Macaca mulatta: one gene and its partners. The protein of the gene in region 1 interacts with the protein of each later gene in a biochemical or structural test. Links are inferred from orthologs where the notes say so. Each region holds a gene or a part of one and is shown in the gene's direction. Other genes may lie near its edges. The genes, in order: NPR2, NPPA and NPPC.

Region 1 (3,646 bases):
CAAGAACAATGACCGGGAGACTGACTTTGTCCTGTGGGCCATGGGAGACCTGGATTCTGGGGACTTTCAGGTGATGGGGGAGGAGGCAGGGAAGAGAGTGTGGCCTTGCAAAATTCAGCTTTCAAGGGTTCAGTGGGGGCAGAACCAAAAGTACTAGAGGAGGGACTTGTTTTATCTGCTGGTGCTGCATCCTGGCTGGGTGGTAGGCTGGGGAGAAAAGCAGCAAAACAGCTGGGGTCTGGGGAGGAGGCTGGTGGGAGTAGGCCTGTGGGCCCAGCTTTTTGCTTCCTTATAGCCTGCAGCCCACTACTCGGGAGCTGAGAAGCAGATTTGGTGGACGGGACGGCCTATTCCCTGGGTGAAGGGGGCTCCTCCCTCGGACAATCCCCCCTGTGCCTTTGACTTGGACGACCCATCCTGTGATAAAAGTGGGTGTGTGCAGGGACTGGGAGCAACCTTCCTCCCTTTGCTTTCCATTCGTGGTCTCCACCCTCACTGACCCTCCACTCTTAACTGTGCTTCTGCCTTTACGTCTGCATCCCTCCCTCATTTCTTCCTACTCCCAAGGAATCTGTCTATGCACCTATGCACCCCATTCTCCATTCTGCCAAGTCCACACACAGTCTTCCTCAGGGTCTCTATCTCCCCTTCAGCTCCACTTTCAACTCTGGCAATTGTGGCTCTGGGCACAGGAATCACCTTCATCATGTTTGGTGTTTCCAGCTTCCTAATTTTCCGGTGAGTTCTGTGTTTCCCGCTGACCTACTCCCTACCCCCACTGCCACACAGCCTCTGGCTGAAGCCAGGTGGTCACTATAATGTGGGATAGGGTAGCAGGTTTCTTAATTTGCTGGTTGTTTCTTAGATCCAACAGTGTCTTCCTCTCTAGCCTCTCTCTTTAGTTGTCTTTTAGCCTAGGTGTTTGTTCCACTTTTGGTTCTAGACTGGATATACTAACTAGTGTTTTTCAGTGGGGTTAAGATCAAAGGTGAATTTTCCATTGGTCTTCTTTTAGGAAAGAACTTTCACCCCCAATCTCTGTGTTTGTTAGTGAGCATAGGGCATGTGCCAGATATGCCGAGAATGCAGCCTCATCTTCCAGCCCTATCTCTTAGGTGTAACAGTTGCAGCTTCAGGAGCTGCAGGGAAGCCCCTGCAACCCCGCTGTTGGCTTGGGGGTGGCAGGATTTGGCTTGCCAGTCAACTGAGGTGTGCAGTCCTTACAGAAAGCTGATGCTGGAGAAGGAGCTGGCTAGCATGTTGTGGCGCATTCGCTGGGAAGAACTGCAGTTTGGCAACTCAGAGCGTTATCACAAAGGTGCAGGCAGTCGCCTCACACTGTCGCTGGTGAGCCCTTGTCTCAGCTGTCCCTCTGCCTCCCTCTGAGTTCCTGTCCCTTCTTACCCTGGATCTCTCCCAGCACATTGGCTTGTAATGATAGCCCCTGCACTACCACCATCATCTAATGTTCCTTTCATCCTTCCGCCTCCATGTTGCCCTTGGCCCCAGCGGGGATCCAGTTACGGCTCGCTCATGACAGCCCATGGGAAATACCAGATCTTTGCCAACACCGGTCACTTCAAGGTGAACAGTCATCTGCTTGTTCTGGTCCCCACCATTTCATCCTTTCTCATCCCCATCTGCCACCTCTGCCCCTGCACCTCTGCCCCTCATACCCCCCTCTCTGTGCCCAGCTGAGCTCCTGGATGCTTCCACTGCTCTCTAGCATTTCCTTGCACCCAGAACTTCCGATATTCATTTTCCTTTCCCCTTTCACTCCCACCATCAGGGAAATGTTGTCGCCATCAAACACGTGAATAAGAAGCGCATTGAGCTAACCCGGCAGGTTCTGTTCGAACTCAAACATGTATGTAACGGAGGATGGGTTGAGGGTGAGGGGTAAACAGGGATGGGGAAGAGGAGTGGGGAAAACTACGAAATAGTAAAATTGGCTGGACGGGCAAGGGGTTGATTTATAAATGATTTTAAAATTGTAGATACAACTAAGAGAAAGGTCCTCGTATGTAGTGGTAAGTTTCTGTATCTAATTTTTAACTCTTCCAATGTTCTTATCCTTCCCATTGTTTTTTTCTGCCAGATGAGAGATGTTCAGTTCAACCACCTCACTCGCTTCATTGGCGCCTGCATAGACCCTCCTAACATTTGCATTGTCACTGAATATTGTCCTCGTGGGAGTTTACAGGTGAGAGATAGGTGTAGGAGATTATGGCAGGGGTGGGGAGGATAGACCCAAAATTATACTGACTCTATGTCAGGTGATAGCTAGTGGGACCAGGACAGACAATCTATTCCATGTCACTTACCAGGATATTCTAGAAAATGACAGCATCAACTTGGACTGGATGTTTCGTTATTCACTCATTAATGACCTTGTTAAGGTGAGTTTTCCCCACTCCTTAAAAGTTCATCCACTTTTAAATCACTTCCACTGTTCTTTGATTGTGGTTTTTCTCCTTCTAGTCCTCTGAAAGTCCTGTTCTCTCATCTCCCCTTATTCCCATGGGGGGGTAATAATGGGTAAATAAGGAGTCTGGGACTCATAACTGGGAGAGTGAGTTTTACCTGCCACAAGGAGTCCTGTCCCTGTAGAGAGTTTCTGTCTTTCTGTCTTAAATATCTCAGGTCTCTTTCCATCATCTCTTTTACCTCGAAGAGCTCATAAAATGAGTGGGGTCTCTGAACATATTTATCTCCTATATTTCCTCTCATTATTTTACTCTCTGACCAATATTTGGGCATGTCTGCCCTTTTGTTCAGAAAACTGAAATTTAAAAAAGGAACTTTTACTAGTAGAACTAAGAGAAACCAAGGAAGAGTGTATTAAAAACCTTTGGTACTCTTCTGTTATACTAGGTTTCAGCTATATTCAAATGACTCAGAGGCTCATGGATTTGTGGAACATAAAATAGAATCTTGCATGAGTTGGACAGGTTTTCTGAAATAAGTCTCATAGCCAGTGAGCATCCCAGTGGATCACCCCATGCTGTATTTGAAGCTAGCTTTGGTTTTCTGCTAACTTCTCATGAAATTATTTAAAAAGTATTTTTTTGTGTGTGAAAATTTGCTATCAAGTGAGAGATAAAATATTAGTAAAGCCAATGTCATGCTCAACTAGAGGAGTGATGATAAATATAAGAAAAACACGACTCTTGAGAGAATAGTGATTTGGTGGAAAAGTGATTTACAACAAAGCCAGAAGCCTAATCCTGTGATTTTTGAAGGCATCCTTTGCACAGTTTCCACACAAGTAAATTCACAACTTCAGAGATTCCCAAAAGTTTTGTTGATACCAAAAGAAATAAAAAGGAAGAGTTCATAGAGATTAGAGATTAGACATTAGAGTTATGAATTAAGTCCAGAGCTAAACATTTAGACAAAAATGTTTTTCATTAGCATATTGAACCTTGTATCCTCTTTCTGTCTCACCTGAACGGACTTGGGTGGCTCCTAGGGTTTCATTTTTGGGGAGCATCATTAAGACTTTTTTTTTTTTTTTTTTCCTGAGACTGGGTCTTATTCTGTTGCCCAGGCTACAGTGTAGTGGCTAGATCACTGCTCACTGCAGCCTTGACCTCCTGGGCTCAAGTGATTCTCCCACCTTAGCCTCCTGAGTAGCTGGAACCAC
Region 2 (3,634 bases), on another chromosome or scaffold:
CATAAAGTTCTCAGCACAGTCTTTCTCATTTTACACACAAGGAAAATAAGGCTGCGAAGATGTATGCAACTGGTTGGTTTGGGGCTAGAGTGCCGGTCTGTCAGTCCTTCAAATTTAGTGTTTTCCCCCAGTATACGTTGCATTGAATGGTAATGGCTAACACTGAGTTCGGTGCTTAGCAAACAGGCCATTCGTTAAACATAGACAGGCTCGTTGCCTGTTATTTCTCTTTTGGGGGCCAGAGAAATTGTGACCTTGGTGGCTCAGTCACTTGCCCCTTGCCACGTCCTCAGGGAAGGATGTAGACGGCATTGAAGGAAACCGACTATACCTCCTTCACCCCCACCTCCCTCCGTTCATCGGCTAAGTTGCTATGGGCACAAGCCCAGGAAGGGCAGGGGGCTGTTACAAACTTCAAACACGAAGAGTCTGAGCATGTATAAACAGCAAAGGAAGAAACGAAATTCGCTGCGTCCTCTAAGCCTGTCCCCACAGCATGTTGGAGGAGGGTCGCGGGGGACGTGGAAGAGGAGGAGCTTTGGAGAGAAGATGCTTGTGCTTCCCCGGCTTTTCTTGGTATTTCTATTCGGGGCTTGGAGCTTCATCACATTTGGTTCCTGGCTGACTTTATACACTAAAAAATAACTCCCTTTTGTCTGACCATGGAGAGGGACTGCCAGGGGTGAGGGCAGCCCTGTCTGAGGCCAGAGGTCTGCCCACGTGGCGGATGAGGCAGGTGTGAGGCCAGCTTGAGCATATGGACCCATTTGTCTCGGGCTGCTGGCTGCCTGCCATTTCCTCCTCTCCACCCTTATTTGGAGGCCCTGACAGCTGAGCCACAAACAAACCAGGGGAGCTGGGCAGCAGCCAAGCGTCACCCTCTGTCTCCCCGCATGGGTACCAGCATCGAGGAGAAAGAATCCTGAGGCATGGTGGTGAGATAACCAAGGACTCTTTTTTACTCTTCTCACACCTTTGAAGTGGAAGCCTCTTGAGTCAAATCAGCAAGAATGCGGCTCTTGCAGCCGAGGGTCTGGGGGGCTGTTGGGGCTGCCCAAGGCAGAAGGGCTGTGACAAGCCCTGCGGGATGATAACTTTAAAAGGGCATCTCCTGCTGGCTTCTCACTTGGCTGCTTTATCGCTGCAAGTGACAGAATGGGGAGGGTTCTGTCTCTCCTGCGTGCTTGGAGAGCTGGGGGGCTATAAAAAGAGGAGGCACTGGGCAGCTGGGAGACAGGGACGGACGTAGGCCAAGAGAGGGGAACCAGAGAGGAACCAGAGGGGAGAGACAGAGCAGCAAGCAGTGGATTGCTCCTTGACTACGCCAGCATGAGCTCCTTCTCCACCATCAGTGTGAGCTTCCTCCTTTTTCTGGCATTCCAGCTCCCAGGTCAGACCAGAGCTAATCCCATGTACAATGCCGTGTCCAACGCAGACCTGATGGATTTCAAGGTAGGGCCAGGAAAGCGGGTGCAGTCTGGGGCCACGGGGCTTTCTGATGCTGTGCTCACGCCTCTTGATTTTCTCCAAGTCAATGAGGTTTATCCCTTTCCCTGTATTTTCCTTTTGTAAAGAATTTGCTGGACCATTTGGAAGAAAAGATGCCTTTAGAAGATGAGGTCATGCCCCCACAAGTGCTCAGAGAGCAGAATGAAGAAGCGGGGGCTGCTCTCAGCCCCCTCCCTGAGGTGCCTCCCTGGACCGGGGATGTCAGCCCAGCCCAGAGAGATGGGGGTGCCCTCGGGCAGGGCCCCTGGGACTCCTCCGATCGATCTGCCCTCTTAAAAAGCAAGCTGAGGGCGCTGCTCACTGCCCCTCGGAGCCTGCGGAGATCCAGTTGCTTCGGGGGCAGGATGGACAGGATTGGAGCCCAGAGTGGACTGGGCTGTAACAGCTTCCGGGTAAGAGGAACTGGGGATGGAAATGGGATGGGATGGACACTACTGGGAGACACCCTCAGCAGGAAAGAGACCAATGCAGAAGCTCATTCTCTCTCAAGTTTCTGCCCCAACACTGTGAGTGCCCCATGGGTGTCAGGACACGCCATCTATTGTCCTTAGCTACAGTCTGCTGAGAAAATGCTTAAAAAAAAAAAAAAAAAAAAAGGCCGGGCACGGTGGCTCACGCCTATAATCCCAGCACTTTGGGAGGCCAAGGCAGGCGGATCATGAAGTCAAGAGATCGAGACTATCCTGGCCAACATGGTGAAACCCCGTCTCTACTAAAAATACAAAAATTAGCTGGGCACGGTGGTGCTGGGTGCCTATAGTCCTAGCTACTCGGGAGGCTGAGGCAGGAGAATCACTTGAACCCAGGAGGCAGAGGTTGCAGTGAGCCAAGATTGCCCCACTGCACTCCAGCCTAGGTGATAGAGTGAGACTCTGTCTCAAAGAAAAAAAAAAAAAAAGAAGAAGAAGAAGCAACTGCCACTAGCACTGGGAAATTAAAATAGTCATAGGGCCAAGTTATCTTTGCATGGCTGATTAGCAGCTCATGTTCCTCCCCAGAATTGCAAGATCCTGAAGGGCTCAATTGAAATTTACTCTGACGAGTAACTTGCTTATCAATTCATGAAGTTCAGAGGGTCATCAGGCTGGGGTGGGGGCCGGTGGGAAGCAGGTAGTCAGTAATCAAGTTCAGAGGATGGGCACACTCACACATGAAGCTGACTTTTCCAAGACAGCCAGGTCACCAAGCCAGATATGTCTGTGTTCTCTTTGTAGTACCGAAGATAACAGCCAGGGAGCACAAGGAGGGCTGGGCCTTGGGACAGACGGCAAGAGGTTCCTGCCCGCTGGGGTCTCTCCTGCATTCGTGTCATCTCGTTGTCATGGAGTTGTGATCATCCCATCCAAGCTGCAGCTTCCTGTCAACACTTCTCACATCTTACACTAACTGTAGATAAAGTGGTGTGATGGTGGCTTCCTTGCCTCTCCCACCCCATGCATTAAATTTTAAGGTAGAACCTCACCTGTTACTGAAAGTGGTTTGAAAGTGAATAAACTTCAGCACCATGGACAGAAGACAAATGCCTGCGTTGGTGTGATTTCTTCTTGGGGAAGAGAATTCAGGCCGATCGATATTCCTTGTCATTTTACTCTTTGTCAGAGAACAGAATGCTGAGGTTTTCTTATTCCTTTCATTTCACCCTCCTTTTTTGGTGGGTGGTTGGGGAGGCCTCAAATTCCACTTAGTGCTTTTTGGTTACGGGGGTTTTTGTTGTTTTGGGGGGGAACATTCAGAAAATGAGAGTATTAATTAGATTTCCTCTGATACATTTCGAGAGAGTTAGGTGCCACAGCTAAGTTAATGGCACTTTTAGTTTTGAAAAGAGTAGGCAGAGTGTTGAGCTTAAAAGCTGAGTAGGCTGGGTGTAGTGGCTCACTCCTGTAATCCCAGCATTTTGGGAGGCCAAAGTGGGCAAATCACTTGAGCCCAGGAGTTCAAGGCCAGCCTGAGCAATAAAGACCTCATCTCTACAAAAAATTTAAAAATTAGCCAGGCGTGGTGATGTGCACCGGCAGTTCCAGCTATTCAGGAGGCCAAGGTGGGAGGATGGCTTAAGCCTGGGAGGCGGAGGCTGCAGCGAGCTGGTATCGTGCCACTGCACTCCAGCCTGGGTGACAGAATGAGA
Region 3 (3,746 bases), on another chromosome or scaffold:
TCACTACCACGGAGGAAAGAGGGAGGTTTGGAGGAACCTGGTGCTCAAAACCCCTCTTCACTCCAGCCGCCTTCCTGCCTCAGGCACCGCTTCCTCTCCCTGGAAAAGCTCGTCTGGGCTACTGTCTCCGCAGAATCCTCTTCACGCCTGGGGACAGCCACTGCACTCCTGCGGCAACATTTGTTCTCTCTCCAGCCTGCGTCCTGCTCGGCAGCAGCCAGTCATAGATTCGTGCACCTCACTCAATTTGGGGGATCTGGGCTCTCCGCCTCTGCGGCCCACACCGCAGTGCCCAAGTGCCCACCACACTCCTTAGTGCCCAAGGGACCAAGAAGCCCAGTGCAAGGAGAGCAAGTTTGTGAGTGGTAGGGATATGTGGCCGTGTCCCGAGAGCCACGAGGACCTTTCTACAGTCAACAGTGGGAAGTTGACCACCTGTCACGGCTGGCAGAGGCTGGACCGGGCCGCTGGTTAGGAAGCTCCCTCCCCAGCCTGTGAAAGTGCACAGGATACTGGAGCGGGCTTCTCTCAGCAGCGGATCCTCGCGTGGGTGCAGGCAAGGTCAGGTGCGCATTGTTCCCACAGACCGAGTTCACCAGCGGAGTCAGACCCGGGGACGTTCTGTGTAGCCGAAACCGGCTGAACGTGAACCTAGAGCCATAACTGGCGAGCACACGATGCCGCCGAGCACACGCATGAACATGAATATCTTGGTTCCGCGCTCGCAGTCCCCTCGTTCCCGCCTCCCGCTCAAACACTCAGGTTGGCGACATGCTTGCACTCTCCAGTGCGGAAGACTTGCGCTCCCGCCGCGGCCCAGGCGAACCCCGCTCTCCCTGTGCCTCCCACCCCAGTCCTCCAACCCCATCCTCTACCTCCCCAACCTAACGACATCTCTGTGGTCTGCGCTCCCGCCCTGGCGAGCAGGTGAGAGGCGGAGCTGCAATGCCCATCCCGCGGCTGTCAGGTGCCAGGGAAGAGTTTGGCGACCAGCAGGGCTGCGTGGATTTCGGGCAGCGCCAACTTTCTGCCTGTATGACTTTGGGCAAGTAATTTCATTCCTCTGAGCCTGTCTTTGCACCTGCAAAGAGAGCTATAGATCCCTTCTAGGTAGAGTGAGTGTGCTGAGGACCCAGTGGGTGCACAGGGCACAGGGCGCACTGATGCTCATCAGGCCAGGGCGCGCGCTGGCTGCAAATGGAGTTCCCCTGTGCGCGCCGCTCTGCAGCTCCAAGTGCAGCCTGGAGCGAGCCGGCAGAACCGCGGGATCCCTCCGGGGTGGGATAAGGGAGGGGAGCCCCCGCGGCCCCCTCCCGGCCCTCGGCGCGGCCGCGTGCGTGGTGTCATTGGCCCGGGCAGCCCGGTGGGCGGGAGGATGACATCAGCGGCAGGTTGGATTATAAAGGCGCGAGGGGAGTCACGGGCTCAGAGCGCACCCAGCCGGCGCCGCGCAGCACTGGGAGCCTGCTCGCCCTGCAGCCCAGCCAGCTTGCTCCGCACCAGCCTGCTGGTCTGCCCGCCGACCCGCGCGCCCTCGCTGCCGCCCGTCTGCGCCCCTAGACCCCAGCGGCACCATGCATCTCTCCCAGCTGCTGGCCTGCGCCCTGCTGCTCACACTGCTCTCACTCCGGCCCTCCGAAGCCAAGCCCGGAGCGCCGCCGAAGGTGGGTGCTGTCGTGGGGACGCCGAGCCTGAGAGAGTCGTGGGAGGCTGGGGGCTTGGAGAATGCGGCGCGCAGGACCCAGGAGAGAGGGAAGGCAGGCGGCTCTCTCCTCCGAGATGCGCGTGGGCGAGACCCGGGGAGCCCTCGAAGCGCGGACTCGGGGGTCAACTCCCCCAGCCTCCGGAGAACGCCGGCCCATGCGCAGCCCCCTGCCCCAGCGTGGCCTGCCGGGCGAGCAGCAAAGGAGGGGAGGGCAGGGGGCTTCCGGAGGGAGCGGAGAAGGCGGCCGCGTGGCAGGTGGATGCGGGGCCAAGCTGGCCGGCATCGGTGGGGGCGGCTCTGGGCTTAGGAGGGACACCCCGCGCCGGCGGGCGCGTGGGGCTGGAGCATCAAAGTCCCCTGTGCTGCAGCCGCGCGTCCCTTCACCTGCCCGCTCTTTCTTCGGACAGGTCCCGCGAACCCCGCCGGGAGAGGAGCTGGCCGAGCCGCAGGCTGCGGGCGGCGGTCAGAAGAAGGGCGACAAGGCTCCCGGGGGCGGGGGCGCCAACCTCAAGGGCGACCGATCGCGACTGCTCCGGGACCTGCGCGTGGACACCAAGTCGCGGGCAGCGTGGGCCCGCCTTCTGCACGAGCACCCCAACGCGCGCAAATACAAAGGAGCCAACAAGAAGGGCTTGTCCAAGGGCTGCTTCGGCCTCAAGCTGGACCGAATCGGCTCCATGAGCGGCCTGGGATGTTAGTGCGGCGCCCCCTGGCGGCGGTGAGTACCGCCGACCCCGCGCCCAGCCCCAGCCCGGCCCGGCTTTGCTCAAGTTGTGCCAGGCGTTTGCCGGCCACCCCCTTTATTATCCCCTTTACAGACAAAGAAAGCGAAGGATAAAGTGATCGGGGAACTTTGGCATGGTCAGAAATGGCTCAGCCTGGTTGAACCCACCAGGCTTCTTCTAGAGAAGCAGAAACAGGCTTGGTGGCGTCTCACCCACCCCTGCACCTTAGCTGAACTAGCAGCATTGGCCCCAGCTGGCCAGCTGGTGGGGGAATTGAGGGGAGATCATGGGTTTGTGGGAGCAGAGAAGGAAGGTTACACCCACAAGTCCAAGGGACATTGATCATCTGCCGGCCACCATGCCCCCTGTAGCGAGAGTAGCCCTCTGTTGGCACCGTCAGGGCGCCCTTCTGCCTGGAGCACTCCGATTCCTGTCCCTTCTCTAAACCCAGGCAGTGGGCAAACTGGTCTATCCAGGGTCCTGTCCCTTCTCTAAACCCAGGCAGTGGGCAAACTGGTCTGTCCGGGGAGCTGCAGCCCGGTGGCTTCAGGGGTGAATCTCAGTGCTTGTGGCACTATTTCAGGGAATAGGAAAGATACTAAAGTAAATATTTTTTGCCCCACCCTCAAACTCGACATGTCCCAGAGTCCCTCACCAACCCTGTCCCCCGCCCAACCGGTGCTCTGGGCTCCGTTTCTGGTGTGGGATCTCACCCCGCACTAGGGCTGGAAACCTCTGCCCTACCGTCACCCCCTGCCGGGTGCCGCATGGTGGTAATTTACTGCTGCAGAGAGCCTCACCTCTCCTCTTTCCCTCCTCTCTATTCCTGCCGCCTGCCTGTGCCCACTGAATAACAGCATCCCAGCCTCTGACATTGACAGTCATGTGCATTAGGATCAGGCTCACTCGGCTTTCTCCCTTTCTTGCCTCCAGCTCAGCAGCTGCCACTGCCTGTCCCACACTTTGACTGTCCCATCCCAGGCCATGGGAAAGCTGCTGTCTCCACCCCAGAAACCCTTGTCAGTGTTGGGTCTTCCCCCGGAGGGAAACAAGAGCGCCTCTCCAGCACACTGTCTCTTTTTCACAGTACAGAACACTTTTTCACAGTTTGTGAACCCATTCACCTCCCCGTATTGAACAGCTTAAGGGCCAAGTGCTGGCCTAAGGCACTCTAGGACCCACTGCACCCCGTACAGACTCAGAAATATTTGTCAATGACCAGAGAAACCAGCACACCCTAGCCCATGGCCACTCCCACCTGCCCTAGGTTTTAACCAGTGCCCTTCCTCTCTTTGCAGCCAGACCTCCCTCGGCTG

What was found.
Region 2: the proteins of NPR2 (region 1) and NPPA form a complex in vitro, tested with the Homo sapiens proteins (3 studies listed by BioGRID). The link is inferred for Macaca mulatta from reciprocal best matches to the Homo sapiens genes NPR2 and NPPA.
Region 3: the proteins of NPR2 (region 1) and NPPC form a complex in vitro, tested with the Homo sapiens proteins (3 studies listed by BioGRID). The link is inferred for Macaca mulatta from reciprocal best matches to the Homo sapiens genes NPR2 and NPPC.

What each region holds. Positions count from the first base shown.
Region 1 is NC_133420.1:63,894,765-63,898,410, reverse strand, and holds part of NPR2 (atrial natriuretic peptide receptor 2), read left to right. Parts: coding exon 1-70; intron 71-295; coding exon 296-428; intron 429-653; coding exon 654-738; intron 739-1,217; coding exon 1,218-1,347; intron 1,348-1,509; coding exon 1,510-1,584; intron 1,585-1,789; coding exon 1,790-1,867; intron 1,868-2,098; coding exon 2,099-2,203; intron 2,204-2,327; coding exon 2,328-2,399; intron 2,400-3,646. UniProt on the Homo sapiens protein: Receptor for the C-type natriuretic peptide NPPC/CNP hormone. Has guanylate cyclase activity upon binding of its ligand. May play a role in the regulation of skeletal growth.
Region 2 is NC_133406.1:228,884,917-228,888,550, forward strand, and holds NPPA (natriuretic peptides A), read left to right. Parts: upstream 1-1,214; 5' UTR 1,215-1,329; coding exon 1,330-1,452; intron 1,453-1,574; coding exon 1,575-1,901; intron 1,902-2,723; coding exon 2,724-2,735; 3' UTR 2,736-3,029; downstream 3,030-3,634.
Region 3 is NC_133417.1:137,158,807-137,162,552, reverse strand, and holds the start of NPPC (C-type natriuretic peptide precursor), read left to right. Parts: upstream 1-1,426; 5' UTR 1,427-1,574; coding exon 1,575-1,664; intron 1,665-2,112; coding exon 2,113-2,403; 3' UTR 2,404-2,423; intron 2,424-3,746.